4 linked regions of the Rhinolophus ferrumequinum genome follow. The protein of the gene in region 1 binds, or shares a complex with, the protein of each later gene. Links are inferred from orthologs where the notes say so. Each region holds a gene or a part of one and is shown in the gene's direction. Other genes may lie near its edges.

What was found.
Region 2: the proteins of AGT (region 1) and ANPEP are in contact, whole or in part, in a crystal structure (PDB 4FYS), measured with the Homo sapiens proteins. The link is inferred for Rhinolophus ferrumequinum from reciprocal best matches to the Homo sapiens genes AGT and ANPEP. Residues at the interface, in NP_001369746.2 of Homo sapiens: Val27, Tyr28, Ile29, His30, Pro31, Phe32; in NP_001141.2 of Homo sapiens: Gln211, Gln213, Ala351, Gly352, Ala353, Met354, Glu355, Arg381, Val385, His388, Glu389, His392, Glu411, Glu418, Asn438, Arg442, Phe472, Tyr477, Ile864, Phe896, Ser897, Asn900, Gln903, Ala904, Arg907.
Region 3: the proteins of AGT (region 1) and REN are in contact, whole or in part, in a crystal structure (PDB 6I3F), measured with the Homo sapiens proteins. The link is inferred for Rhinolophus ferrumequinum from reciprocal best matches to the Homo sapiens genes AGT and REN. Residues at the interface, in NP_001369746.2 of Homo sapiens: Asp25, Tyr28, Ile29, His30, Pro31, Phe32, His33, Leu34, Val35, Ile36, His37, Asn38, Glu39, Lys91, Leu92, Ala95, Met96, Met99, Leu100, Phe103, Arg107, Arg148, Ala151, Ile152, Gly154, Gln353, Gln354, Asn355, Asn358, Glu391; in NP_000528.1 of Homo sapiens: Tyr81, Met82, Thr84, Gln85, Val102, Asp104, Gly106, Ser107, Asn109, Ser118, Arg119, Leu120, Tyr121, Thr122, Val125, Tyr126, Leu147, Arg148, Tyr149, Ser150, Pro181, Ala182, Leu183, Pro184, Met186, Leu187, Ala188, Glu189, Phe190, Val193.
Region 4: the proteins of AGT (region 1) and DPP3 are in contact, whole or in part, in a crystal structure (PDB 5E2Q), measured with the Homo sapiens proteins. The link is inferred for Rhinolophus ferrumequinum from reciprocal best matches to the Homo sapiens genes AGT and DPP3. Residues at the interface, in NP_001369746.2 of Homo sapiens: Asp25, Arg26, Val27, Tyr28, Ile29, His30, Pro31, Phe32; in NP_005691.2 of Homo sapiens: Phe109, Glu316, Tyr318, Glu329, Phe381, Gly385, Ile386, Pro387, Ala388, Gly389, Ile390, Asn391, Ile392, Asn394, Arg399, Val412, Leu413, Val415, Ala416, Phe443, Val447, His450, His455, Glu507, Glu508, Asn545, Arg548, Leu552, Glu555, Phe556.

The regions. Positions count from the first base shown.
Region 1 is NC_046310.1:26,049,807-26,056,816, forward strand, and holds the start of AGT (angiotensinogen), read left to right. Parts: upstream 1-4,009; 5' UTR 4,010-4,147; intron 4,148-6,093; 5' UTR 6,094-6,122; coding exon 6,123-6,951; intron 6,952-7,010. UniProt on the Homo sapiens protein: Essential component of the renin-angiotensin system (RAS), a potent regulator of blood pressure, body fluid and electrolyte homeostasis.
Region 2 is NC_046311.1:4,305,820-4,313,098, forward strand, and holds the start of ANPEP (aminopeptidase N), read left to right. Parts: upstream 1-4,268; 5' UTR 4,269-4,336; coding exon 4,337-4,917; intron 4,918-5,437; coding exon 5,438-5,580; intron 5,581-5,692; coding exon 5,693-5,832; intron 5,833-6,231; coding exon 6,232-6,358; intron 6,359-6,440; coding exon 6,441-6,595; intron 6,596-6,821; coding exon 6,822-6,935; intron 6,936-7,044; coding exon 7,045-7,188; intron 7,189-7,279. UniProt on the Homo sapiens protein: Broad specificity aminopeptidase which plays a role in the final digestion of peptides generated from hydrolysis of proteins by gastric and pancreatic proteases.
Region 3 is NC_046305.1:26,930,500-26,937,881, forward strand, and holds the start of REN (renin), read left to right. Parts: upstream 1-4,382; coding exon 4,383-4,480; intron 4,481-7,382. UniProt on the Homo sapiens protein: Renin is a highly specific endopeptidase, whose only known function is to generate angiotensin I from angiotensinogen in the plasma, initiating a cascade of reactions that produce an elevation of blood pressure and increased sodium retention by the kidney.
Region 4 is NC_046294.1:5,506,202-5,513,888, reverse strand, and holds the start of DPP3 (dipeptidyl peptidase 3), read left to right. Parts: upstream 1-4,683; 5' UTR 4,684-4,808; coding exon 4,809-4,860; intron 4,861-6,052; coding exon 6,053-6,330; intron 6,331-7,687. Other genes in the region: PELI3 (E3 ubiquitin-protein ligase pellino homolog 3), read left to right, coding at 250-819. UniProt on the Homo sapiens protein: Cleaves and degrades bioactive peptides, including angiotensin, Leu-enkephalin and Met-enkephalin. Also cleaves Arg-Arg-beta-naphthylamide (in vitro).

The DNA.
Region 1 (7,010 bases):
GGCAAGACGATGTTTTGGGCTATGTTATCTGTCACCAAGGTGGTTACTGCACTTCACTGCTGATGACCACAAAGGCATGTCTTACCTGTAGAAAGGTCTGAATTAGAATTCTTTTTCTGGTCATGGTAAATTTCCTGTTTGGGATTTTTATAACATAAACATAGAACAGCGCACCTTCCAACTGTGTCTTTTCTGCAACTCTGTAGACTGCAGGCAGGGTGCATTCCTAGAGTGTAATCTCTTTCAGTGTTGAACAGACCTTGTCTTCCACACTCAACAAAGCAGGGAGGACAGGCGAGGAGACCTGGTCTGAGGGAAAAGAGGGGTCTCATTATCCCAGAGAATGTCGTTTCTTCATTTGGCATGGCTGAAGACCACCCCTGGAGAACACAACGTTACTGCACTGATTTGAGGCAAAAGAGGGCACCTATCAGAACAACCTGTTAACTAACACCACAGTGATTTTGAAAGAAGAGCCACTCCTGGAGGACTGCCTGATAGCCTGTGGAGGGTGTGGGGTGACTATTCCAAGGGGCACACAGGAAGACAGATGCCAGCTGCCACCCATAGCCTCTACAGAGCAGAGAGGACGGATAGGACACAAGCAGATGAGAGCAGATGTACGAGTCCTCACATGGCTCAAGCCCAAGGATTGGCAATGGGCCTTTGGTAGCTCAGAGCTCTGAAGTCCTGTGTGTGACATGACAGTCACCCAGATAGGAGCACATCAATGCCATCCTGGCAGCCCAATCTTTTGTGGTCCTGCAATTTAATATCAGTGAAAGAAGCCCTGTGTCAGCCAGCAAAAGTGATCTGATTGGTAGACTGCCTTCCTAGAAAGAGGATGCTCCATAGGCAAGAGTCTTGGAGCTATTCAGACATCTGGTCAACCCGTGGTAGAATGTGGAGGATGAGTAGAAGGCAGGGGCGGTGCACTGAAGGGAAGAAACAGGAACCAGGGACCACATGGCTCATGGTCCTGCCACCCCAGCAGTACCAGGCCCCAGAGAACTTAGAAAATTGGGAGGAAGATGCTCTGGAACATGTCTTGTGTGACCTAAGGGTGGTACTGTAGGAAGGCTCCTTCCAGTTCTGTGGTCCCATGAGTTTAAGGGACCACATGTGGTCTTCATGCCTTAGTTTACCCACTCTCAAAATGGCTGGGCTATTTTGAGATAATATAGTCAAACCTAGTTACAAACATATTTGAGGTCCAGGGTCCCTCCCATAAACTTCACGAATTCAGTAAAAATGAGCGCAGCCGTATGGTTTGTCTAGATGGCAGGTGCCCTCCTGCCCCTTGATGTTACCGTTTTTGTGGAGCCTTTGCAGTCCTTCGAGGGCTGGGCTAAGACTCATTGTCAGAAATTAAACTTCAATTCCACATCAACAAGCACAACCTAAGTTTTATTTGTAACGCTCAAACCCATTGCCTGAGAAGCGGCTGCCAAGTGGGCGTAAGGAGAGGTCCTGCCTCAGCCAAGACCTTCCCCTGAGCTGGACACATCTTCTTCTCAGTGCCAGGAAATCTGCAGGGCCGGAAGAGTGCTCAGGTTCTCTCTGGACAGCTGAATGGCCCTGTCAGAGAGAGGAAGCTGAAGGAAGCCCCCGCCCTGCAGGACAGAGATCTGCCTGGTGGAGAGTGGCGTCCCTGTGGACTGTTAAAGGTGGGTGGGGTCCCCACCAAGACTGCTCCAGGGGCCACCCCCACTCGTCCTCAAGGTCCGGCTCTGCCTGCTCCTGTCTCCAGGCGAGTCTTCCTGACCCTTGAGGTTAGACCAAGCTTCCTGTCATAGACTCATGTCACTCACAGCTGTTTTCCTTCCTAACAATTATTCCAGCTGCCAAGATATTATCTGTGCAATAATTGCTTAATTCTGACACCTCGCAAAGCTGTAGGCTTCATGAGGGTGGGGACGGTGCCTGATTCATTTTCAGTTGTCACCTCAGAGACAAATTTCTTTCTTGGCATGTGGTAGGTTTTCAATAAATAGTTGTTGAACAAATGAATGGATATGGTAGGAAAAGAATGGGTGATGGGGTCACACAGCTCTGGATTCACCATTTTCTTTCTGGGTGACATTTAACAAATGAACCTTTGTGGTCCTTGGTTTTCTCTCCCTACACAGTGGGGATAGTAAAATTTGTGTTGCAGATGTGGTGAGAAGATATATGCACCTGGCATGTAGCAGCTGCTCAATGAGTGCTAATCCTTTCTTCCTCTGTCTTAGAGTTGAGAATCTCTTCTTTTCCTTAGCACATTTCCTAAAGCAGGACTCACAGTTCAATGTGCCCCTTCTTCCATTGGCTTCTCAAACCACCTCAGCCTGGCCCCTCCCTCATCCTTCCCTGAGGCCCCAACTCAGCCTGCACCTCCATCCACTTCCTCTGGGCCTTTGGTGACCAATAAAGGGTTGGATGATTGATCAAGAATGCTTTGGGGGGGGACATTTCCGCACCAATGACTTGAAGCCATTATGACATTCAGGCCTTAACTCCTCACTTCTCAACCTCCCCAGTCCCCACCCTGGCTTCTGGAACACCTCCTCCTGCTTCTTGCACTGGCCCTTGGACCCCCTGCTGCGACTCCTTTGCCATCGCCAATCTCCCTAGTTTTTCCTCTTATCGTCTCTCCTGTTAACTCTCCTCCAATGAAACGTCTCCACCCGCAGGCCTTGGGTTATTCCTCAAGTGTCTGCCACCCACACCTGCGTCTCCGGCCCAAATCCGCCCTCTGAGCTTCAGAACTGTCCACTCACGTATTCACCACTGGATTGCAACAGAGGCTTCAGAAGAAAACCGTCTAAAATCAAACTCTTCACGTTCCTTCCTCAAAGCCCTGTGCCTCCCATGTGCCCCTTTTGGTTATTGGTTTCACCAGCCTCAGTCGCCGGATCTTGAGAACCCTTCTCCCCCTTTCCTCCTGCTTTCGTACCACAGTGTCACCACGAGAGCAAATCTTTGAATCAGAAGACCAGCATCATGTCACCCCTGCCACCCCGTGCTCAGACCTCTCCAGTCTCTCTTCTGAGGCCCCGACATCGACCTCCACGCGTGGTGTTCAGGCTCCAGCCAGCGTCTTTCCTTCCACATCACTCACATAACTCCCCAGGTTCGAGTGGCAGTCGGGTTTCATCTTGCACGTCAACTCTGATTCATGCAGTTTGGCCAAAGCTCTGTCCAGGGGACCCAGTGGGAAAGGCTGAGTCCCGTCATCATCCATGGGGCTAGGCCCAGGGAGCAGTGGCAATCTGGTTGCTCTCACTGCCCACCCTTCCAGCATCAGGGCCTGCTGGGGTCCCCCAACCAGCCCCACGCTTTCCCACCTCTTTGTTCCTCTCATATAAGCCACTACCTCTAAAAGCCTTTCTTCAGCTTCTAAGTCCAACTTAGTTTTCCTTCAAGGTTTGACTGAAAGGACATTTCTCCCCAAAACCTTCCCCAGCTTTAATGGAGTGTGGCTTCTCACGGTCTGAAAGCGTTTTGTTGGCACCTTTCCACTGGCTATACTAATGGAACTGTCAGAATGGGGCAGAATGTCATCTAACCGTCAACCAGCTAAATCACAAGTCTCTAGAAGGTGCGTTTGCTGGGTTGTTGTTTCTCCCTGCGGCTCTCAGGGGCCTCACATCGCTGTTTGGACAACTGCTAAGCCTCTCAAGGCCATAGGGTCACAGGTGTCCCAGGCCACCTGGGCATGCACATTCTCGGGGTCTCTCTGACAGACACCCCAAGGGGACTCGGTCAGAGGCTGGGTGGCTGGCCTCAGCCATCACACATCTGGACAGAGACACATCGCACTCCCACGTGGGACGCTCCTACATCCGGTAAACGCAGGCCCAGCTTGGGGGGACTCAGTAAATGTGTAACTCAGCCATGTACCAGCTCGTTCTGTTCAACAGCAAAGTGTGCGTCGATCATCCTGACCTCCTGGCAGTAGTCCCAGCGTGACAGTCCCTCTGGCGTCCGTCCCCCAGTCAGCCCTGGCCGCCTGAGGCCCCACCCCCATTGGTGATATAACCCCCTCTCCAGCTTGGGCACAGGACAGTCTGGGAACGGCTCCATCCCCACCCCTCAGATATAAATAGGGCCTCAGTGGCCCAGCCAGAGGAAGAGGCCACCCTTCTCGTGGGGACTGAAGCAGAAGGTAAGCGGGGAGCCCCTCCCCACACCACCCTTCCCTGCCCCTGCCCCCTCCTGTCTCTCTCTAGGCAGCTGAGTTGTCTGCTGGGCTTAGAAAGCCGGGGTGCTCTGTGGGAAGGGGGGGAAGGGCTGCTGGAAGGCGGTGGCTAAAGGGCACCCAGGAGCCAGAAGTCAGGGGACAGTGGTGACCTGTGCCACAGGGGACCTTACTACTGAAGCCTCAGAAGATGCCGCTCGCCTCCCATCGGGCCAGACGTCTAGCCCTGGGCTGTCTTCCATTTGGCCCCCCGGGTCCTTCCAGGGGACCTGCTCGTCCTCAGCAGCAGGCAGCGTGGCTGGGTCCTCCCGCTCCCTCTGAGTAGGGCTGGGTCCTCCCGGAAGCAGGGTCTTGGTGGCCAAGAGCCCACCGAGTCCTTCTTCAGTCAGAAGGGGCTGCGAGGCTGGCTGTGCAGGTAGTGGGGCTGGGGGAGGGGCAGGCTCTGGGTCCCCCAGGACGCAGGTGAGGGGTGGCCCACATTTCCGTGGGCGCAAGGCTTGGGTCTGTGCAGTCAAGGTCATCACTGTCTCCCTGAGCCTCAATTTGCTCATCCATAAGATGGGACAAATAACCATGCCTGGCCTCCCTTGCTCATGGCCTGTGGTGTAAATTAAGAGAGCCAATACAACGTGAAAATGCTTTCTAAAATTTCAGATAAACGAAAAATGTACATTCTTATTATTTTATTCAAGAGGAAATTTAAATCAGTGCTTAAGTGGGCGGGCAGCAGCTTCGGGGGTCTTTGTTTAAATCCTAGCTCTGTCTCTTACTAGCTGCGTGACCTTGAGCAAGTCACTGAACCTCTCTGTTCCTTTGTACAACAACACTGACAAATTCATTTAACAACTACTTATCAAGTAGCTAGTAGGTCCCAGGCATTTTTTGGAGAACAAAACAGAGCTAAAAGCCTGCTTTCATAAGGTTTGCTTTCACATAGGCGGAGATAGGAAATGAACACGATAATAAACAGACAAATGAAATGAATACACGATCCGGAGTGTTCCGAGGTGATCCAGGGCTATGGGAAAAGTCGAGTAGGGCAGGATAAAAGGGCTCAGAGTGCCAGGCGTCGGGGGACAGTTGCAGTGTGGAACATGGTGTCAGGGATGCCTCAGCAGGAAGGGTTGTTGTGAAGATTAGGTGAGCTGATACGTGACAAGCCTGGAATCGTGCCTGGCAATAAGCATCGTGTGTTAGCTGCCACCCTCACCATTTTCTTTACGCCACCGAGCCACAAGGAGGAGGGACCCCGAGAATGAGGGGCTGGTGAGAGGGAGCCCAAGGAGGGGTGAGGCAGGCGCGGGCAGCAAACCCACCCTTCTGGGAGCGCTCACCGCCCTGCACTGCCAGCTTATTCTCAGGCCCCGCTGTGTGCTGACTGAGAGCCAGCCGGGCGGCAGCTGACCACAACTGAGAGCAAACAGCAGCCCTGCCTTGAAAACGATCCATGAGATTGCTTCACCTGACTGCCTGTGCCCTGCGGTGGGGCTGAGTGGAGCGGGGCTTGTTTACCTGCACGGCCCACACCTGGGCCGGTGGGCACCTGTTCCTGCAGGCTCCCCAGCTCTCAGGCCCACAGCTTTCCCCTGATGACTCTGCCCTGACTGGACCTTTTACATGAGGCCTGTGTAGACAGAAAGGCACATTCCCACTATTATAAACGTTATACAAAACAAAAAATCAAAACCCAGCCCAAAATAAAACCTTACAAAAGCACGCCTCAGCCCATAACCGTGTGCTTTGCACATGGGTCATATAAACGTGTTCTGTGGAGTGGGAGTCCATTTTTTTTCACTGAAATGTGTAGACGTGGATGGATTTCTCCTGGGCTACATGGTTGCAGGGAGTCGTAGAACCACTGAAACTGGCGAGAGAGCACTTAATCACCTTTCACCCTTCATAAAACATTCCAGGTGCGAGGAAGCGAGCTCCCCCATCAGAGATGACTCTTGCCAGCGTGAGCCTGAGGGCCGCCGTCCTTTGTCTCCTGGCCTGCGCTGGCCTGGCTGCTGGAGACCGGGTGTACATACACCCCTTCCACATGCTCGTCTACAGCAAGAGCAGCTGTGACCAGCTGGAGAAGCCCACGGCAGAGACGCCCAAGGACCCGACCTTCACACCTGCCCCGATTCAGGCCAAGACGTCCCCAGTGGACGAGGAGGCCCTGTGGAGACAGCTGGTGCTGGCCGCCCAGAAGCTCGACGGTGAAGACAGGACGAGGGCTGCCGTGCTGGGGATGCTGGTCAACTTCATGGGTTTCCGCATGTACAAGACGCTGAGCGAGACGTGGAGCGCAGCCACAGGCGCCGTGCTCTCCCCACCGGCTCTCTTTGGCACCCTGGCCTCCTTCTACCTAGGAGCCTTGGACCCCACGGCCAACGGACTGCAGGCGTTCCTGGGCGTGCCCGGGGAGGATCAGAGCTGCACCTCCCGGCTGGATGGTCACAAGGTCCTCTCTACCCTGCAGACCATCCAGGGCCTGCTGGTGGCCCAGGGCGGAGCGAGCCGCCAGCCCAAACTGCTCCTGTCCACGGTGGTGGGCCTGTTCACTGCCCCCGGCCTGCGCCTGAAGCAGTCGTTTGTGCAGGGCCTGGCTCCCTTCGCCCCCGTCACCCTCCCGCGCTCTCTAGACTTGTCCACGGACCCAGATCTCGCTGTGGAGAAGATCACCAGGTTCATGCAGGCTGTGACGGGGTGGGAAATGAACAGCCCCCCGACGGGGGTCAGCCCAGACAGCACCCTGCTCTTCCACACCTACGTCCACTTCCAAGGTAAGGCCAGCCCTCCGGGGGGGCTCTGCCCCCAGGCCAGTGCCAAAGGGCAGCAGTTC
Region 2 (7,279 bases), on another chromosome or scaffold:
CTGCGTTTTCCAGGTCAGTTGATGTCTTTTACATGTGTGGCTCTGTCCTAAATATTCTCTCACATGATCGTTGTCAACCTTCATTTATTTATTTGTTTTTTTTAACGAGAGGAACTTTTGTTCTCTGGATCAAAACATAGGCATGTATTTATAAATAGATAAACCCATGGAAAGGCTGCTTTGGTTGAGATGGGGCTGGAGGTGCTTGGTTTTTCTGCGGTCAAGAGACGAACAGTCAAAGGAACACAAACATTTTGTTCACCGGCAGAAAGGTCCCACCCCAAAGAGAGCCTGCAGGTGACTCCATCCCCAGAATCACGCCAGATGCAGCAGTGATTCCCAAAGTGGGTGCATCTCTACAAGATGATTTTAGGGGCTATCCAGATGAATAGTTTTGAAATCAGTAGTCATGAATTGAAACGTGTGTCGGAAAAAATATGACATAACACATCCAACCATGATTGATTGCGTAGTCATGATTCCTCAGAAGGAGAGTAAGGAGTGAATTGATGTAAAGAAAAATATTAAGTAAATCACGTATAGGAGGCTCACAGAGGTGGTTTGTGGATGCAGTCTAGGACCCCAAGAAGGAGAGTGGGGGGATAGAGGGGAAACCTGACCTCAGTGAGATTCCAGGGGCTTAATGACAGAGTTCCATCTTTAACCACTGTCTCTCATTTCCGTGATGCGTCCATTCCACAAGCTGTGTTACCCGCTGGCTGTGCACTAGGTGCTTGTCTGGGGAGGAGGGCACGGTGCTCATGATGCTCAGTCTCCGGGGTGCTGGGGGCAGGGCTGTCCTGGGATGGCATCCCCGAAGTGAACCTCCGGGAAGAGTGGGTGGTAGGTGACGGAAAGCCAGAAGTGTACCAGGCCCAAAGAGCAGCTTGTGTGGGGCCACTGATGGGGGCAGAGCCTGGTGGGCTTGAGGAATCACGAGAGGCCAGGGAGGCAGAGGAGAAAGTGCAGTAGGGCAGACGACAGGAGATGAGACCAGAGAATCACAGGGAGGCTGGATCACGCCGCACCTATAAGCCATGGCGAGGATTGTAGATGTTGTCATTCATTCAACCATCGTTTATTGGGCTCCTGACCTGTACTAGTGTACAAAGTCACAGAGCCTTCCCTTGGGATGCCGAGGTCCAGTGGCAGGCTTTGAACATGTAGATGGCCTTTTCATAAGTGCTGTGACAGAGGCATGAACCAGAGGCCAGGGACGCACAGAAGGGCTGCCTGTACAGAAGGGCAGTGACATATGAGCTGGGTTTTGAAGGATGAGTAGGAGTTTGACAGGAGGGAGAGGAAAGACATTCCTGGTGGCCGAAACAGGATGAGCAAAGGCACGGAGATATGAAAAAACCCAGAGGGTGTGAGGAAATGCCAGCAGTTGGAGCCACAGGGGGCTTTGGAAATAGAGGCCAGAGGGTCAGGCTCACAGAAGGTCTTGAGGCTCAAGCCAGAATTGAGGTTTTATTCCACGGGCAGTGAGGAGCCAGAGACCAGGCTTGAGCAGGAGAGGAAGATCCCTCTGCCAAAGTGTGTGGCAGGGTTGGGTGACAGGGCAGGACAGCACTGCCACCACTTCCTGGTGGGGTGTGGAGGTGGCCAACGCTGGGCTACAGCAGGGGGCGGAAGGAAGGGGCCCTATTCTGTGTTACAGAGGTGGGGGCTGTGGAGCATACCCCTCTCTGCGCCCCCAGCATGGGCTGGCCTGGTGTCCAGAGCAGGGACCTATTACAGGGCAAATGGGCCCTTTCCAAAAGAGTAAGATTCCAGCCAGCTGGGCCTGTGGTCCATGTCCAAAGCAAACAGGAAGAGACCACTGTGGGCCAGGCGGGGCCTCTTTCTTTGTTTGGAAAAGGGATTAGGCCAAGTGGATTTGTGGGTCTTTCTGCTGCAAAGGTGGGAGGGGGCTGCAGGCCTCCTCCGGGACATGGTGAAACACAATTCAGGGGGATGCATGGGTCCTGGGTGCCAGCCTTCAGGGGTACTATAAAGATGGCCTCCCTTGGCAAATTCTAACCCTGATGGACGGAACTGGGAGCACATGCTACATTACCATTGTGTGTCACTGTTCTTTCTTTCACCATGTCCAAGTTGCAGCCCTGCTCTGGGCACTTGGCTTCCTGCTAGTGTCCCTTGGCCATCAGTCCAGGCCTGGCAGGGGTGGCTGCTGGCCACTGAAGTGGACAGTCCACACTGCCCAGACCACAGCACCAGGGGCAGGTCTCCAGAGGGAGAGAAGGAAATGCTGGGGGCTCAGAGTACATTCCATCTGAAAGATGGGCACCCAGGATTCCCATGAAGACCCAGCACTCAGCCCCTGGCCTCTGCTGGCCAGGTGACAGTTGGCAGTCCTTCCCTCTTGCAGTTATGCCTGAATGAATTCATCGCTGGGTGCATTCCATTTTTTTATGCAGGCTCGGGGGTGGCAGGCCCAAGCCAGGCAGGGAGTGGCAGATGAATGAGGTCCTCAAGGAGCTGATGAGGTGGCGGAGCAGACTGATGCAAGTCTTGAGATGCATTTGGCCTCCACAAGGGTCCTACCTGTGTGCCCCGGATGGAGGAAGGCTGAGAGAAGACGGCAAGAGTAAGGGCAGGGACAGAACTGGAGATGGCCTAGAAAGACTCCCATAAGGCGAGACTCCTGAATTGACGCATTCATTCATTGGCCCATTCATGCATGTGTGCGTTCCCTCAACAAGTAGGTATTGAGCACCTACTACGTGCCAGGCATGTGTCGAGTGCTGGCGAGCAGAAGCAGCCAAGGCACTGCTCTCACGGGGCCTCCAGTCCATGAGTGAGACGGGCAGGACTTAAGGCATCAACCACACAGATGAGATGGGGAACTTGCTGAGTTACAGGGCTTCAAAAAAGAGGTTTGCGGCGCTAATGGAGCTCACAGGGGCTTGACCTGGGCCGGGACGTCACGCATCTTCTCTGAGAAAGACTTGCGGGGTGAATAGGAATTAACCAAGACAAGAAGGGAGAGAAGATGGCCCAGGCAGAGGGAACAGCACGTGCAAAGGTCCTGTGGTGAAGGGGCTGGATGAACACCAGAGAGGTTGGAGAACCAAAACAGAGGGGAGCGTGGTGAGAATGAGGCTGGACCGTGGGCAGGCTGATAGCACCCGAACTGGTCAGTCCCTTTAGAATATTTGCTGTGGTTCCAAGACAAAGAGGAAGGTTTTCAGCAGTAGTAGAAAATCATGATCCAATTTATGGGGTGAACAGGTTTGAGGGGGCCTGAGTGCAAGTGGGGAGTCCACGAGGGTACAGCGGTGTCCACAGAAACAATGAGAATGGCTTTGACCAAGGACATGGTGAGATCGGGGTGTGGGGGGATTGGATGTGGGGGTCAGGGCCAGGTCTGAAAAACTGGGCTGGTGGATGGAAAGGTAATAACGAACATTGCTTTACACGAAGAACGTATTTTATTGAGTACGATAAGGAATATCTTCATTTTTACCAAGTATAGGAAAAGAGGCAGTCGATGAACTCGGAGTATGAAGCGGGGGTGATTTTTAGGTTCTACTGTTTGGCGTTTAATATGTTTTCTCATTAAATCTGTCCAACAAACCTCAGCGGTGAACACTATTCTTGTTTAAGAGGAAAGAGATCTCAGGAAGATAAAGCTACCTGCCCAAGGTCACGGCTGGGAAAAGGTTAAGCCTCCACCAGGCTCCTCTCTTGAAAAGGCAAAACAACTTATTGTTTTCTACTCAGTGAGCTGATAATTGAGGAAAACCATTTATTGGCAGGAAGGGCAAGGGAGGGACACCTGGGAGCCCGGTCTGCTCTGGAGGAATGCAGGGGAGGCTGGGAGCGCGTCACTGAGGAACCCAGGCATCTTTCCAGCATCCGACCACAGGGGAGACCCAGTGTGTTCTTGACCCAGAAACTGACCCTCCCTTCTCTGCGTCTCCCACCTCTTGCTGTAGGAAGTCCTTCCCTGACTCTAACCCCGATCCTCCTGCTTCTGCCCCACTGCCTCAATGTGCACACAGCTCAGTGCCACCTGCCCGCTACCCTACCCTCTGGGCCCAGGCTGCCCCCTACCCTTCCGCCCTTGGTTGGGCAGGCTCCAGGGCAGCCTGCAGCCTATAACCAGACACTGTTTGCTCCCGGCAGGTGCACTATTCCTGGATCTCTTCTCCGGAGCCTGGGCAAAGCACACCCCTGCCCAGTCCAGTGACCTCCGGCTGTCTGAGGCCGGGTTAATTTTTGCCTAGTCTGCGGGCTGTGGGCTCCTCCCCTCCGGGATATAAGCCTGGCCCCAGGCGGCCCTGTTCCCTGCCTGCCCTGAGCCTCCCCCAGCTCCCTCTCCACCCTCACCATGGCCAAGCCCCACGTCGTCCTGGGCATACTGCTGGGCCTGGCAGCCGTGAGCACCATTATTGCTCTGTCGGTGCTGTACTCGCAGGAGAAGAACAAGAACGCCGAGAGCTCTCCTGGTGTGGTCCCCACCAGCCCCGCCACTACCGTGAGCACCACCTTGGACCAGAGCAAGCCGTGGAACCGGTACCGCCTCCCCCGGACCCTGGTGCCTGAGTCTTACAACGTAAAGCTGCAGCCTTTCCTCACCCCCGACAACAATGGCCTGTACATCTTCAAGGGCTGGAGCACCGTCCGCTTTACCTGCAAGGAGCCCACCAATCTCATCATCATCCATAGCAAGAAGCTCAACTACACCACCCCCAACGGGCACAGGGTGACCCTGCGGGGTGTGGGGGGCTCCCAGCCCCCCACCATCGACAGGACCGAGCTGGTAGAGCTCACCGAGTACCTGGTGGTGCATCTTAACGGCGAGCTGCAGGCGGGCAGCATGTACGAGATGGACAGTGAGTTTGTGGGCGAGTTGGCCGATGACCTGGCAGGCTTCTACCGCAGCGAGTACATGGATGGCAATGTCAAAAAGTAAGTGGGACCTGCGTCTGCCCGGTGGGGGCACGTCCTCAGTGCTGAGGAAGAGCTAAGGCCGAGGACGGCCTTGGCTTTGATGCCTTGGAAACTTCTGGAGCCTTTGGCTGGCTCATTGCTCCAAACACAGCTCTGGTGGAGCAACTACTGAGACCACAAAGCCTTTCCCTGAGGGCCTCCTTACCCCACATTAGGGAGTCAGGGATAAGTGATGAAAGTGCCCTTTGGATAGCTAGGAAAACTGAGGCTCCGAGGAGAGAAATTGCCCTCAGTCTCCTAGGTAACAGGGATGGAGCCTGCCAGGACTTTGACCCTGAGTCCATAAGGTTATGCCAGAGTCTGCTGGCCTGTTGGGAACCAGAGGCTGCCTGTGGGAGATGGGGAGGCCAGGGATTAAGCCAGAGCATCCTTCCGTGTACCCCTTCCCCTGCACCCCCAGCAGCCCCCCAAAGTCCTCTTCCTCCCCCCACGGGTGCAGGCATTGTGCCGGCACCCCTCTAACACCTGGTTTGGGCAGGGTGCTGGCCACGACGCAGATGCAGTCTGCAGATGCCCGGAAATCCTTCCCATGCTTCGACGAACCGGCCATGAAGGCGACATTTAACATCACTCTCATCTACCCCCGTAACCTCACAGCCCTGTCCAACATGCTGCCCAAAGGTGAGCGGGTCTGTCCGGGGGCCACACAGCCCTGGGAAGCCAGCACCCAAGGGCTGGGGTGCAGGGTTGGAGAAAGGGTGCATGCCTGCATGCCTGAGTGCTCCATTCCCAGGCCCCAGTGTCCCGTTCCTGAATGACTCCACCTGGAGCGTCACCGAGTTCCACACCACGCCTGTCATGTCCACGTACCTGCTGGCCTACATCGTTAGTGAGTTCACAAGTGTGGAGCAGAAGGCGCCTAATGACGTGTTGGTACGAAGCTGCACCTCCTTGCCCTTCCCCAGCCTTGGCCGGGCCGGAGGGATAGTCCTGTGTCTTCTCATCCCTGTCCTAGCCACTGATTGTGGCCAGTGTTTGAATCCCAGTTCTGAGTCCTCTTAGCTGAGTTCTCTGACCCTCAGTCTCTGCATCTGAAAAATGGGTCTGTCCTCATGAAGGGAGTTCCCGACTCAGGGCTGCCAGACAGATGGTGGCTCTGACTGCTGTTTTTCCCCAGAGGCTCCTACCTGGGACTGAAAGCCCCTCAGAGGCCCCCAGCCCTCTCTTCTGTGACCAGACCTCCCAGTTTGACCTCGTCCAGGCCTGGAGACTCCGCCCACCTGCACCAGGACCCCAGAGGGGGCCCCTGGTTGACCTCCATCCTTTTCGTAGATACGGATCTGGGCTCGACCTAGTGCAACCGCGGCAGGTCACGGCATGTATGCCCTGAACAAGACAGGCCCCATCCTCAGCTTCTTCGCTCAACATTATAACACAGCCTACCCACTTGAGAAATCCGGTGAGTGTAGGGCCCGCCGTGGGGGGCAGCAGAGGGGGCCCCGCACCCAGAGGCCATCCTGCCCACTGCCTGGCTTCCCCAGACCAGATCGGCTTGCCCGACTTCAACGCTGGCGCCATGGAGAACTGGGGGTTGGTGACGTACCGGGAGAACTCCCTGCTGTTTGACCCGCAGTCCTCGTCCAGCAGCAACAAGGAGCGCGTGGTCACCGTTATTGCTCACGAGCTGGCGCACCAGGTACCCCCCATAGGGAGTGCAGAGAAGGACACGGGAGGCTGAGAGGTGATGGCACAGGTCCCGTCTCTGCCCTCGGCAGCGGGCAAGGTAGCAGGGGCAGTCACAATGGCAGAGAAGCGCTGAGCCTAGGTCTGGCATGTTTGCACACTCGGGAAGGGTCCCTCTGGGTGCTTTTAGTGACTGCAAGGCCAGAGTAGCTGGCCGGGCTAACCCCCCTCCCCTACAGTGGTTTGGGAACCTGGTGACCGTGGCCTGGTGGAATGACTTGTGGCTGAATGAGGGCTTTGCCTCCTACGTGGAGTACCTGGGTGCTGACTATGCAGAACCCACCTGGAACCTGGTGAGCCAGCTGTGCAGGGGCCCTGGGATCTGCAGGCCGGGCAGGGGCGGGGGAAGCCGTGGGTGCCCCCTTGCAGGCCAGTCTACTGACGGCTGCCGGGGATTCGCAGAAAGACCTCATAGTGCAGAACGAGCTGTACCGCGTGATGGCCGTGGACGCGCTGGCCTCCTCCCACCCGCTGTCCGCCCCGGCCTCGGAGGTCAACACGCCAGCCCAGATCAGCGAGATGTTCGACTCCATCTCGTACAGCAAGGTGCTGCCATCTCAGTGGGGGTCGTGGGGAGGGAGGGGGGGACCTGGCCCCCAGGGGCCCCATGGAGCCCCTGTCCCGGCCCAGTGGGGTC
Region 3 (7,382 bases), on another chromosome or scaffold:
CTCTAAGGTTTGGGGAGGGAAGGGAGAGAGAGGGTGGGTGGTCACTCACCCTTACTGGCCATGATAGGTCCCAATCTCGTGAGGGCTGTTGGTGGGCAAGGAGACAACATCACTCTTAAGCCACTCTCCTGTGATTCCTGACCTACTGTCCATCAGCAGAGGGCCTCAAGGTAGAGGGAAGTGACGTTCTGGGGCAGGTACCCACCGCCTCAGCAGCTGGGCTCACATACAACACAGGATACAGGATATAACATGGGAGATGCAAGTGTCCACTCTGCCACTTACCAGCTATAAATTAAGACATGTTACTTATCCACCTTGGTCTTGATTTCCTCCTGTGTTGCAAGGATACTGGCCCACTCACCTCCTAGGGCTGACGTGGACATTGGGAGAAGACCCTACTCCATTTAGGCCCTCGCTTTTTGCCTTGGACCTTCTCCCTGCTCCCACTAACTTGCCACTGTCATTCCTGGACTTGCACGCAGGTCCTGCCCTGTCATGTGTTAAAGACCATGACTTCTTGCTTATGGCCTTCCTCCACCTCATGCCTTCCCCAATTCTCCTGGACGACATCACCATCCACATAGATGGTGACCCGGCCAGCACCCTGGCTCCTCAGTTCCCTGAGTGCCATCTTTCTGGTGACTTCACCCCTACTCTGCTTCAGCCACCACCCCACATCCTACTCTGGATTTTTCATCACTTATAATTGTTCCACTTCCCAAGAGGCTATCTCAAATGTCCCACTCTCGATGAGCTCTCTGCACTCCACTTTATGCTTCCACTATTCCCACCACCACTGCTCTTTCTTCTCACCCATCCATGGTCCTCCGCTTCCTTCAAGCTCACCCATCCTGTCCTGTCTTGACTTCTCTCCCACAGTCCATCATTCAATAACATTATTGCTAGAACACTAAGTCCCTCATCTTTGATCCACATCTGGCATCACCCCAGCCCTGTATGACACCAGCCACACAGTTTCCCTGCATCTTTCCCTGCTGAGTTTCCCAAGCAGCCAAACACTGTGGTGGTGGTGGTAGGAGAGCCCGAGAACAGGGTGAAATGACTGCCTGTAAAGTCATGATCTCCAGCCACTAAATGTCTTAATTCTTCCCAGAAATCCTCTTAGTATCCCTGGTCAGCTTCTTTCCACCTTCCACTTTCCATAATTATTTTAAACCTTCTCAATTTTCCTCATGCCTCCAAAACCCCTCCCACCCCAATTCTCAGCAGAAGTCCTTGCTTCCTACTTGTCCAAGAAGATAAGTCACCAGACAGAAAGTCCTTTGGATACAATACCAAGCAGATAAACTATACATACCACACGTGTCCTTCCCACGTTCCCCACTCCTGTTCCAGTGTGTACCACCCATGTGCCTCTGCCCTCTTAGGAATCCTACTGCATTGTTTATCCCTTCCTTTCAACAGAGTACTTTGTATGCCTCTCAGTATAGTAAGCTCCCTCCCATCATCAGAAATAGAGGGAGGGATAGAGGGAGAGGGAGAGAGAAAGAGAGAGAGAGAGAGAGAGAGAGAGAGAGAGAGAGAGAGAGAATGAGAGAGAGAGAGAGAGAGAGAGAGAGAGAGAGAGAGAGAGAATGAGAGAGAGAGAGAGAGAGAGAGAGAGAGAGAGAGAGAGAGAGAGGATGGGGAAAGGAGAAGAGAAGTAATGGGAAGAGAAAAGAAAGGAGGAAAGAAAGGAGGGGAGGAAGAAAGGAAGAAGAGAAAAACCCTCATTCCCCTCCAGCTTTCACCCTCTTCACCCTTTGTTATAGCCCACCTTCTCAAAATAGCTGCTGTACTATACTACCTTCATCTCCCTACTTCCCATTGTTCTTCGACCTATTCCTCTCTGAAGTCCCGTCCCTCTGCATTACCCAAACAGTTCTGCTAAGAGTACCTATGGATGCATGTCTACATTTTAACTGCATCTTACCTGCCCTGGTGGGTAAGACCACCACGGCTCACCATCCCTCCTTACCACTCTCCTCCTTTGATTCAGGAACACCTATGGGTTTCCTCTTGCCTTCTGACCTCTCCTCTTCGGTGTCCTCTTCAGATTCTTCCTCCACTACTGGTCCATTAAAGTTTGAAGTCTTGGGCCTTCTTGCTCTCTACCCTCTTCCCTGGATACTTTCATTCACACCTGTGGCATCAATTACCACTTGCAAATAACACATAAATCTTTCACCCAGGTCCATATGTGCACCTGTCATTTAATGTCATCCCTGAGACATCTCAAAAAAACCCTACACTCAACAGGTCCCCACTCATCCATCTTCCCTTTAGGAATCCTGGTTCTCTTACACTGTACCCCATGTTTTACCAGGCATCCAGAAACCTCCCTCTCCCTCACTCCTCATATCCAACTCATTACCCAATCCTGCAGACTGTATTTCCTAAATTTCTCTCAACCCCATCCAATCTTCTCTATCTCCACCATGCCCACCTCCCCTGGTCCAAGCTAGCTCTAGTTCCATGTCTTCTTAACTGGTATAAGTCACATGATTCTGGACCATTCCCAAGTCCTTGCTAGCTCACACTGTAGCCAGAGTGTCTTTGCAAACATATATAATTACATCATCATTCCCTCCTTAACCTGTTTACCCACTGTTCTTAGAGTAAACATAGCATGGAGTTCAAGAACTCGTATGGTTTGGCACTCAAGTCAGCTATGTAACGAGTTCTGGGTCATACTGCCTAAATTCATAGCCTGTCTTCATCACTTATTGTCAGTGTGACCCTGGGCAAGTTACTTTCTGAATCCTCCTGTATCTCAGTTTCCTCACCTGTAAAATGGAGTAATGATGGTACTACCTCATACGGTTGTTGTGAGAGTTAAATGCACTTAGAATGGTGCCTGACATACGAGTATATAACTAAGCATTCAACAAATGTTAGATCTTCTCATCCTTTGCCTCCCCAGTCCCATCTCTCACCCCACTCCTTCTCATCTCTGTTTTGCCACATTGGCTTTTCTTTAGGCCCTTATTGTCACCTTGTTCCCTCTCTCCTCAGGACTTTGGCACGTGCTATTCCCACTGGAACTCTTTTCTCTCCCTCTTCAGTTATTCATTGCCTGCCTGTGCAGCCTTCAGATAGATCTTCTGCAGAAACCTCCCCAAGACCCTGAAGGCTGCCCTTCCCTCCCAACAACACTAGGTCAAGAGAGGATGGGGACAGCCCCTGACCCTAGGCCCCGGCTCACTGAGGGCGAGGTACGAGGTGTGACAATTAAGTTCATGAACTTGTTGCAACAATGTTGCTAACCTTTTTTGATATCAGAGGGATTATTCATTATGAATTTGTACCAACTGGACAAACAGTTAACCAAGTTTACTATTTGGAAGGGCTGAAAAGGCTGCATGAAAATGTTAGACGACCTGAACATTTTGCCAACAATTCATGGCTCTTGCGTTAAGACAACACACCAGCTCACACGGCACTGTCTGTGAGGGAGTTTTTAGCCAGTAAACAAATAACGGTATTGGAACACCCTCCCTACTCACCTGATCTGGCCCCCAATGACTTCTTTCTTTACCTGAAGATGCAGGAAATACTGAAAGGAACACATGTTGATGGCATTCGGGACACCGAGAATAATATGACAACAGCTCTGATGGCCATTCCAGAAAAAGAGTTCCAAAATTGCTTTGAAGGGTGGACTAGGCACTGGCGTTGGTGCATAGCTTCCCAAGGAGAGTATGTCAAAGGTGATTAGTGATATTCAGCAATGAGGTAGGTAGCACTTTTTCTAGGATGAGTTTGCAAACTTAATTGTCGGAACTTGTGCACTTTCCCATAAATGGCTGCCACTGACAGAGGCCTGGAAGGTGGCAGCATTGAGGCCCCAGGTCTCGCTTTATTAGGGGACAAACCAGGAGGAGTCACCCATGTTCCAGATGGGAACACTGAGATGCATTCTGGGAGAAGCCAGTTGGGGCCACAGCCAAGGTTAATATAGAGGATAGCACCTCAAGGGCATGGGAGTGAAGGCTGTCTGGGAGTTGGAAACCCAGTTGCTATGCCTGTCTCAGCCCTGACCTTGCTCCTGAGCAGTGCTATTTCTCATCAGCCTCTGTTCCCTCTGGGAGTCACAGGGCCAGGCCGAGATGGGGCTGCTGGCGTCACGGGGCAGAGAATTGCATTCCCGCAGCCCTCCTTCCTCTAGTTCCTTGGGTCCATACGGAAACCTGGTCACCCTTCACCCACCTAGCTTGGTCTTATTACTGGTTGCCTTGCCATCTGACTCAAGGTAATAAATCTCTGCCCCAGGGAGAGCACAACTACCACCATTCTGAGTGTGGAGTGTATAAAAGCAGAAAGGTTCTGGGAGCCATAAGGCTTCGGTGGATCCCAGAGAGCCGGGACCCAGGAGAAGCATGGATGGATGGAGCAGAATGCCTCGCTGGGGACTCCTGCTGGTGCTCTGGGGCTCCTGCATCTTCAGTAGCCCCGCCGACACTGGCGCCTTCAGACGGTAACTCTAACTCGGGCAAAGGAAAGCGGCAGGGGTGCAGGGCTTCCCACTTTCCTAACACTCCTGACTCTCAGATATGTGATGTCACCCAGTCCTCATGACCAGCTGAGCAGGGAGCTATGGTCCCATTCAGAGAGGTAAGGTGACTCCCCCAATAGTGGCACTAATCAGGCTTGAAAGCCAAGTGTTTTGACCCCTGCCTGGAGCTTTTGCGTCCTGCATAGCTTACCATGCTAGGCACTGTGGGGGAACTCAGAGGTGATTAAGATATTCTCCATGCCTTCTAGGAGCTCATCACCTAATAATTAGGAAGGATGTGGTATGGTTGAGTCTACTAGGGAAGAAACATGATATAGTACATAAACGTAAGGCTACTAGAGCTGAATTGTCTTGGTTTAAATTCTGCTCCACTAACAGAACTAACTAGCTCTGGAACCAGGGTTAAGTTACTTAACTTCTCCAGGTCTCAGTTTACCATTTTTAAAACAGGGGTAATAACAGGACCTACTTCACTAGAGCTTCTTTGAAGATTTAGTGCGATAACACTAGTAAAAGCACGGTGCCAGCATTCTGTCAAAACCCAGTTGTCATAGCACTACAGGGTGGTTAGTCACAAATGTTAAAAGAAAGGCTTAAGGCAGCCCAAAGGAGGGAGGAGAAAGACCTAACTCACATCTATATGTGGTGCCAGGCCCTGTGGGAACAAGCAATTCATTAAGGCTGCAGAGGGGAGGGCAGGGAGGGACAGGGCCTCGTGGAGAAAGGGGTTTCTGTTTAGGGGTGCAGATGGATCAGAAGACCTATAGGTCAGAAGGCAGGTTTAACTAACAGTAATAGTTGCTAAGCCTGTAAAATGCTTAAAGTTTCACAGGATCTTTTCACATATCTCATCTCAAATCATCCTTCTAACAGTCCTATTTTACAAATGACACCGAGGCTCAGGGAGGTCACATGTAGAGGCTAAGCCTCAACATACACTGGGCCTTTTGTTTCCAAAGCCTCTTCCCCTGCTCCAAGGCTCCCAGGAGAGAACTGCTGGCTTGGCAGTGTGGGGTGAGAAGCTGAGGGTATCCCAGCTGCACATGCCTGGGTGCAGCCCCACACCCAGGGTAAAGGCAGAGCAAGGTAAACCATTCTCCCTTGTTCTCTTCAAAAATAGAAGAGTGGGATGGGGCCAGGAGTGGAGAGGGAGTCAGGATTCTGAAACACAGCTATAAGGATTTTGCTACCAGCTATGGGCTGAGCGAGCGTCATGCCAGACACTTTGGGAGATATGAACACAGGACCCCATTCTCAAGGAGCCTTCACGGTCTTTTATATACACAGTTATATTTATTGAGCAGTGGACAGCTGGTTTAATCTGCACAGTGATTCTCTGAGGTAGGTACTATAATTAAGCCTGTTTTACAGAGTTCAGGGGGCCTCGGACAAGGCCCAGAGAGCTTAGGTAAGTTGCTCAGAATCACACAGGGAGTAAGGGATTCAAGCATGTCCCCACCACCATGCCCTCCCGGCCAGACATCACCACCTCTGTGAGCATTCCGCTGTGTAGTGCTGGCTGTGAGCACCCAGAGAACATGAAGCAAGAGCCTAAGCAAAGGTGAGGCCAGTGTGAACTGGAGTTCATGGGCAAGCGTCCTGGTGGTGGGGGTGCATGCTGGGCTTCGAAGGACGAAAGACTTGGGGGAGGGGAGGAAAGAAAGGGACTTTCTGAAAGGAGAATGGTAAAAGCAAAGGCCCATAGTAGAGGCTGTTCAGAGTAAATGATGGAAAATGCACTGTCTTTGGAATCTGCTTCTCCATTTTCCCATCTGTAAAACGGGAATAATAAAATTACCCCCCCCATGGGATGACTGAGAATCGAATAAGATCATAATTGCAAAAATACTTTTTGCAATAGTGAACTGTGATATGAATATGACAAGTCACTCCCATTAAAATATTACACTGACAGACATGAAATATGACTTCCATATGAAATATAAAAGTGTATTCATATTCATGGGTATAATGGGGTACATAGAATGGAGCGGTGTGAGAAGGAAAGGAGAGTACAAGTACAGGAGACCCGGCAGCTGAGAAGAAAGAGGGATTCTCCATAAATTGGACTGCAATCCTGGGACCCTCCCCACACCAACAGCTAGAGACATCTTCCTCCAGGCTTCGGTACAAAGCCTTCATGTCAGAGTACAAGAACCCTATATGGGAAATAGGGTCAGACACCCTGCTTTGAGTCCCTGATCCATCACTTCTGAGTCACCTCACCATCACTTCTGTGAACCTCCATTTCCTCATCATAAAGTGAGTACAACGCTAGTTTGCAATGCTGTCATGAGGGTTACATGGGGGCATGGCAACTCAGTATGCAGTGAGTTTCTCCAATTCCTAATTCTGCCTCCCAAAGGTGGTAGGAAGGCAGACAAGGAGCCAAGGGACTTGGGATTAGGCTCAGGAAGGCACATCTTTCCAAGGACAGGGTGCACAGGCACTCTCGGGATACTGGCCTCTCTCCCTGCCCCATCCAGGTCAGTTGGTCCACTCCACCCCACAGCCCTGGCTGGGTGCCTGCCCCAGGGAATCCCGGAGCCCCTTAGGCTGCTTTAGGCATCTGCTGCCATCTTCAGTCCTCATGTGGCACTGCCTCCTCCTGTCCAGCCAGCCTTGAGGGGGCATTCCCAGCCTTCTTCCCATTAGAGGGGTTATCATTGAGTGTTTCCTCCTCTGTCCCATCCCTGATGGAGCTCTTTGAAGCAGTGATGACCTTTATCTTTATATCTTTATATCTCTAGTCTCCAGTTTGGTGCAGGCACAGAAGAGGTGTTCAACATGTGATTATGGAATGGATGAATTAATCAACCAATGAATGAACAGATGGCCTTGCAGTGATCAAAATTAGACAACA
Region 4 (7,687 bases), on another chromosome or scaffold:
ACTGAAAGTAAGAGACCCTGTGTGCCTGGGAGCACCTGCCTGCTCTCTCTCATGGCTTCTTGGTCCTCCTGCCTCCCTCCACTGCCCTGGTCCTTTCCCTTCCTCTGCCCCAGCCACTCCCCCCTCTCCCCAGCCCATCCTGGTGGTCCAGAGTGCCCTCTCCAGGGTGGTTCAGTGGGATAGATGACTGCCTGGTGGCAGGGTTTTGGGGACCTCTTGGGCAGTAAGGCCCTTCTGCTCCCCTGGCAGGTGGAAAACGAGTCCAACGTGCTGCAGGATGGCTCCCTCATCGACCTATGTGGGGCCACGCTGCTGTGGCGCACACCGGCGGGGCTGCTGCGGGCACCCACGCTGAAGCAGCTGGAGGCCCAGCGGCAGGAGGCGAACGCGGCGCGGCCCCAGTGCCCTGTGGGCCTCAGCACCCTGGCTTTCCCCAGTCCGGCCCGTGGCCGCACGGCACCAGACAAGCAGCAGCCCTGGGTCTATGTTCGTTGCGGCCACGTCCATGGCTACCACGGTTGGGGCTGCCGGCGAGAGCGGGGTCCCCAGGAGCGAGAGTGTCCTCTCTGCCGCCTCGTGGGGCCCTATGTGCCCTTGTGGCTCGGTCAGGAGGCCGGCCTCTGCCTGGACCCCGGGCCGCCCAGCCACGCCTTTGCACCCTGCGGCCATGTCTGCTCCGAGAAGACTGCCCGCTACTGGGCCCAGACACCACTGCCCCATGGCACCCACGCTTTCCATGCCGCCTGCCCCTTTTGTGGGGCCTGGCTCACCGGTGAGCATGGCTGCGTCCGCCTCATTTTCCAGGGGCCACTGGACTAAGCTGCCTGGGGACCCCTGCTGCTGCGCCCGCCTGCCCACCTAGGTCCCCCACTTCCTGCAGCCCAGAGGGAGCTCTGCATGTGGGACTCTACCTGCTGGCACAAAGCTACACCAGATGGACGTGTTGGATGGGCTGTGCCCCTCCCCTTTTAACTCTGGTCCCCAAGGGGGTCCCCAAGATCCTTACCCAAGTCAAAATGATGGAGCTCTGTCCTGGGCTGACGGAGGGAAGCCCACCCCCATGCCCTGGCCCTTCTTGGGGCATTTCACATCATGCCGCCTACACTGTGCCCCTGGGGGAGTGAAAGGGCCGTAGGCCCCTGACCCCCAGCTTAGGCCGGCTGTACCCTGAGCCTGCCAACCCAGTTCTAGACATTCACCCTGCTGCTGCCCTGGGTTCCTCTATAAACCTTGCTACTCAGCTGCCCTCACCAATCCCATGTGTCCCGCATGTGTGCAATGCCTCCAGCCCTAGTGAATGACAGGTGGGTGGAAGACTGCGACCGGCATCTGCTGATACCCACTATGGGCTGGAGTCCACGCCAAGGGGGCTCTGGGGACACCGAGACAATCAGATCTGGTTCCCTGCCTGGTAGAGTCCACAGTTTAGTGGATGACAGACCAAATTACTGAATGACAGCACAGCTTCCTACGTGCCAGGGTCAGAATTAGAGGCTATGGAGCAGGCCTTCCTGGTGGGTGGAAACATGAGGGAGGCTTCACCGAGGAGGTGGCGTAGGAGCTCAGCTAAATGGCTACATTGGAACCCCCCACAGGAAGGGGAGGATGCAATAGGCAGAAGGGAGCAGTGGAGCACAGGCTCTGAGGTAAGTAAGCGGGAACTGAGTGAGGGATTCAGAGTGGCCGGAGCAGGGGCTGCAGGGGAACAGGAAGGAGGCTGGAGCCAGAGGTTGGGGCTGTGCTGATGGGGAAGATGCTGGATAGAGGATTCAGAACCTCATTTTGGACAGTGAGGACCCAAGGGAGGGAAGAGGACTCACAGTTCCAGAGCGTTGGCTGTGACACGAGGATCACCATTCCCGAATGCCCACCATGTGCCCTGCACTGTGCTAATGGTAATAATAACTACATTCATTGAGCACCCACCAGGCACCAGGCTCTGCTTCTCGGAGGTTTGGTTATTTAATCCTCACAGGAAACCAGGGAGGGACGTGTTACCATTTCTGTTTATGGGGAGATTAAGGCACATGCTGCAAGCCACACAGCTAGACAGTGACCGAGCCAGATTCACAGCTATGGCTGCCTGCCTGGCCTTGAAGACGGCCCTCTTCTCCATCACACTGTGCTGCTTTCCTTGAATGAAAGGGAGGAGTTGGGAGGGCAGTCTAGATAAGGGGAACAGTGTGGGCAAAGGTGTGGCAGGAAAAATGCTTGATGACCAAAGAGCCAAGTGTGGAGATGTTGGGCTGGGGCCTGGCGGGCGTTGGTTGCCATGGAGGCCAAGTCTGAATTGAATCCCTATTCATCTTGGCTAAGTGTCTCCTCTGAGAGTCAAGGTGAGCTCGGGGTGCTGCTCAGGTTGCCCTCAAGCCATTTCTAGGGGGAGTGGGCTAGGAAGAAAGGTCGAGGTTCTGGAGACATCAAAATCTGAAGAGACTCTGAATACAAGCCTGACCTGGGCAACACCCTCAGTGGAAGACAGCTGCCTTAGGGAGTACGATTCCTAGGGGAGGGGCCTGCCCCGGGCCACACAACTGGTTGGGGCCCAGAGACCAGACCTGGGGCTGTTGAGAGGGCACCTGTCAGTAGTGAGAGGAGGATGTAATCAGATTCTTGCTTCCAGAGCACAGCCTTACACTGCCACAGTGGGGGAGCCGAGCTGGGGGTCCTGGGGAGGGTGTGGGAGCATGGCAACTCCTACACACATGTACACACACTCACAGAGCACCAGCAATCCAACTCTGCCCAGTGGTTCTCTCTTCTGACCTGGTTGGGAACCAGACGGGAACATTCCACCCCATTTCTAGGAGGGAACCTCAGACTCTACAAGAGAGATGAGAAGGCATAGGCACCACCCCGGGGAGAACTTAGATGGTTGTGGAGGGAGTCAGACTGCCCTGGTCTTGGCCCAGCTTTGTCCCTTTCCGGCTCCTGGAGCCTCAGTGTCCTCAGCTGTTAAATGGAATAATAGTCCTGTCACCAGGTGGTTGTGAATTATGGAGGACACCTGTAACACAGTAGGTACTTAATATTATTTCCTCACCTACTTCTTCATTCCCATGGGGAACAGCCAAAGCCATGACTGTAGTGAGTGGACTGCTCCATGTGATACCATGTATGTGTGTGTGTGTTGGGGCAGGTGGAGGGAACAGTGTGGTGGAAAGTCTGAGGAAGGCTAGACCCTAGTTCAAGGACACCTGAGGACATGCTGGGTGGCGTTATGGAAGTCGATGAACTTATTAGCCTCAATTTCCCCATCTGTACAATGGGTAGAATGATGATATCCTATCTCAGGGTTTTTGCAAGAATAAAATGAGAGCCTACATGTCAAGCTACTAGCACAGGACCACAGTAAGGCTCAGATTAGCTGTAATCAGAAAAATGCAGCCTGGATGGGGCTCCCAGGAGTACTGGGATCTTGCTGGCCTGAGCTGCCCACTGGTGGCCGTGGACAGCACTGCCTCCTTTACTGGTGTCCATTTCAACTTCACCCAAGTCAGGGAAGACTTTATACCCAATTTAAAGACAATGAAAGTTGAGGCACAGGGAAGAGGGGTGACTTTCCTAAGGAATCATCATCAGAGCTAATAGTAGCACTGTTGAGCCAAGTGGGGCTTGGGAACCTTTGTGAATGAGAAACACGCTCATGGTGGGCAGATGCTGCTCTGGGTCTAGATGCAGGTGTGGCAAAGGCTGGCAAGGAGGGTGTGTGGATTTCAGGTATCCCTTTATCCCCGCACCCCTCTCTGTACAACACTAGGGGGCAGCACTGCCCAGTCAACACTTCTTTCGAGCCTACAACATCCCTGGGAGTGGAGACAATTATTAGTCCCGTTTTTCTGCTCAGAAAGCCAAGACTCAGGTAATGTGACCCATCCAAGGACACACAGCCAGTAGGACGTGGAGGCCTGATTCGACTTTAGATGGCCTGACTCCGCCCCCCACTCTGACTTGGGACTCTCACAATGCTCCCCACTTGGCCTGGCTGGGCGCCGTGCCCCACCCAGGATGTCCTTCTGGGAGACCATCCAAACATTCAAGGGTGGACCTCCGGCCCGTTTCTGCCCTGCGCAGCCTTTCTGGATGGCAGGCGTCTTTCTCATCCAGTAGGCACCCGATAAGCACTAAGAAACTGCCAGGCCCCTCGCCTCTTTGTGCTGAAAAACACTGAGTCTCAGAGATGTTCAGCGGCTGCCGCCAAGTCCGGCTTCCTTTCCTCCCCACCCCCCTCCCTCCCCCGCAGCCCATGGTGATTTGGTGGTGGTGCAGGCACGGGTGGAACCATCAGCCCCGGCAGGAGTCCGCTCGCCTGTAACCTCGATTCCCAGCACAGATCGCTTTGCAGTCTCCAAAGAGTCTCCACTTCCTGGCTCTTGAATCCAGTGAGGAAGTGGGAGACACATCATTCCCATTGCGCGGGTTCCCACCTGCAAAACTGAAGTCGGGCGACTGGGAAAACCCCCAAAGGAGAGTCGTGGGTGTGTATGTGGAGGGAAATTGTGGTACTCTGTCCATGACACCCATGCCACCCCTCCCGGACTCAGGGGACCTTGTCAGCCCTGTCTGCCGGGACTAGGCCGCGGCCAGGCCGGCCACGCAGGTTCCCGCCCCCGGGCGACCGCTGCCAGTGGACAAAAGGCCAAGGCTGTAGGGGCCATACCGCATGCGAACCAGTAGCGCCTGAAGGCGGGGAGCGGGAGGACCGGCGGAGCTCGCTTCGGAGCGCCTATTGGCTGGAACCGACGCCCATTCGGGCCCCGAGGCCGGACAATTGGCCGGTGGGGGCGGAGTTAGAGGAGCCCCAATGAATGGGGGAGCCGGAAGCAGGAAGTGAGTTTGCGATCGGAGCAGTTGCTGCAGGTGAGGCACGGCGCTCGGGTTTCAGGGTCACAGTATGTCCTCCTCGGGGACAGGGCGAGTCTGGACCGAGCGCAAGAGCATTCCCTTTCTGCCCCCCATCTAGTACCCCTTCTAAAGTCATCGCGGCCCCGAGGTTGAGGAATGCTTTGCGGGCAGCAAAGGGTTAACACCCCTTTCAGAACCCGGGGATTATGCTGTTGGGGCGGAGCCTCGGGAGTGGCGGGGGGATACTGGAAACACATTCCCAGTAAGGGGGGACGCTGTGGAGAATGCCCTGGGTTGGGAGACCCGTAGTACCCACCGGGACCGTGAGACCTTCGTTAAGTTGCTTGGTCTCACTAAGCCTCAGCCTTCCTATCTGTAAAGTGAGTTTTCTTCCACCTCTGAACTTCTGTGGCTCTGTAGCTCCCCTGGCCCGAGCACAGGGAGAGGGTCGGAGGATGAGGACAGACACAAAGGCAGTTATAGGGATAAGAGTGGGACAGATCCGGGAACAGTAAGAGGAAAAGAGCAGGAGGAAAATCATTTACTGCTGTAGATACATTCCATCCGGTGTGACCTCATCTAATTTGCACACCCACACCCACATGGTGAGGTTGGGATTATCACCCCCATTTTACAGAGGCAAAAACTGAGGTGCAGAAAAGGGAAACAACTTGATTTTATAATAGGAGTCTGGGGCTGAGTGAGGATTGGAACCTGGATCTTGCTGCTGGTAGCCTGGGAATCTATCCTTGTGACCACCCACTGTGGTGCGTGGAATTGAAGAACCTGCAGGAGAATTTTGAAGGGGAGGCTAGTAGGTCAGAGAAAGAGGTGGGGAGCCAGAGCGGGACCTGGGCTGGGAGTCTGGAGATGCAGGTCTCTACTTCTGACCCTTCCCTTGTGTTATTAGGCAAAGCTCCTAGCCTTACTGGGCTTCAGTTTCCCAATCCGTAAGACTAGTTAGTTGGATTCCATCTTTTAGGTTGAGGGGCCACAGGCCAAATATGGCCCACCAATGTATTTTGTCATCTCCTTGGGTGAGTCACCTGATCTCTGAGCCTCAGTTAGCATATCTGGTTAATGGGTACAATGGTACTCCCTTCCTCATGGGCTTTTGGGAGGATTACATGAGATCACGAGAGTGCAGAGCCAGGTGTGCGGTTGGTTTGGGGTAAATGATGGCCATGATGATGGTGATGGTTCTCAGCAGGGCCCATGGCGGACACCCAGTACATCCTGCCCAATGACATCGGCGTGTCTAGCCTGGACTGCCGCGAGGCCTTTCGCCTGCTGTCACCCACAGAGCGCCTCTATGCCCACCACCTATCACGGGCTGCCTGGTATGGAGGCCTGGCTGTGCTGTTGCAGACCTCCCCTGAGGCCCCCTACATCTATGCCCTGCTCAGCCGCCTCTTCCATGCCCAGGACCCTGACCAGCTGCGCCAGCATGCCCTGGCTGAAGGCCTTACCGAGGAGGAGTATCAGGTCAGTTCTCTCAGGCCAACGTGCATTTCTTGAGTGGTTTCTGGGTGTGAGGAACCAGGAAGCTGGGTTACAAAGTTCTTTCTCTCTCATTGGATTAAACCAAAAATTACAAATACTGGAACCTCCCCTCCCGGAGCTTCAGTCTTCTTATCTGCAAAATACGCATGAGGGTAATCTCTACCTCTTAGGGTTGTGGTGACCCGACTCCAAGATAAATGGTGGCTGCCGTGATTATAACGAGGGCTTTGAGTAAAGGAAACAGCTGTGGAGATTCAGAGACGGTAGAGGAATGAGGCCAGAGTAGGAATCAGGAGGTCTATTTTCTGAACCACGTCTTCCTTTACCATGTTTTGTGTCCCTGGGCAGAATATTCCGTCCCCTGGTTATTGTTTGTTTGTGGATCTGTTGGCCAAGTAATACAGGAGTGCATTCATAATGCATTACAACAATGCAGAAGGACATAAAACAATAGGTGGAGATCATTTCATTCTTATGCCCTTCTCAGAGGTAACCACTAAGGATGGCGGGCAGACAGCCTTTTCAGCCCTCTGTATTCTATACCTCCACATGTGCACGTGCATGTGTCGGTTCCTTATTTTCTCTTTTGCATAAATGCAATCACACTCTCCATGTTCCTATGAGTCCTTTTTCAGTCCTGCTTTTTCCACTGAACGCCATGTCTTGGAGAACCTCTTTGGGGTACATATTAGTTCACCTCATTTTTATTGGCTGTGAAGTGTTCCCACACAGTGTACGCTAAAATTAATCTTTTCTTTATTGCTGGACATTTAATTGTTCCCAGTTCTTTTTAAATTCTTTAAAAATTTCTTTTTCCTTTTTTTGTTTGTTTTGGTTTTTATTATTTTTTTCTTTTGTTCCTGGTTCTTACAAACAGCACCACAATGAGCATACTTGTGCACATGTGTGAGTAGGATCTATTTCTAGAAGGACAATTGTTGGGTCAAAGGCTCTGTACATTTACACTTAATTAGTGTTGTTAAATCTTCTGAAAAAGCTTCACCAAGAATGTATGAGAATATGGCCTATTTTTCTATATGTAAAATAAAGGGATTGGATTGCTTATCTCTAAGCTGAGGCCCAGGCTGTTTCTTCTACCTTGTTTGAACTTTGTGTATTCACATCCCATCTCTGGGCCTTGATTTCCTCTTTAAAAATGCTAAAAGCTGAGGAAGTGCTTATAAATGGAAAAGTGCTACGTAAGTATTACTATTTTCAGAAGGATTCTTTTGTTTGTCGGTAACAGAAACCCACCTCAAATTGGCATAATGTAAAAAACTCATAACTTCCAGTGTCTGGTCCGGCATGTAAGGAAAGAGCTTAGAAGTTGCCAGTCTGT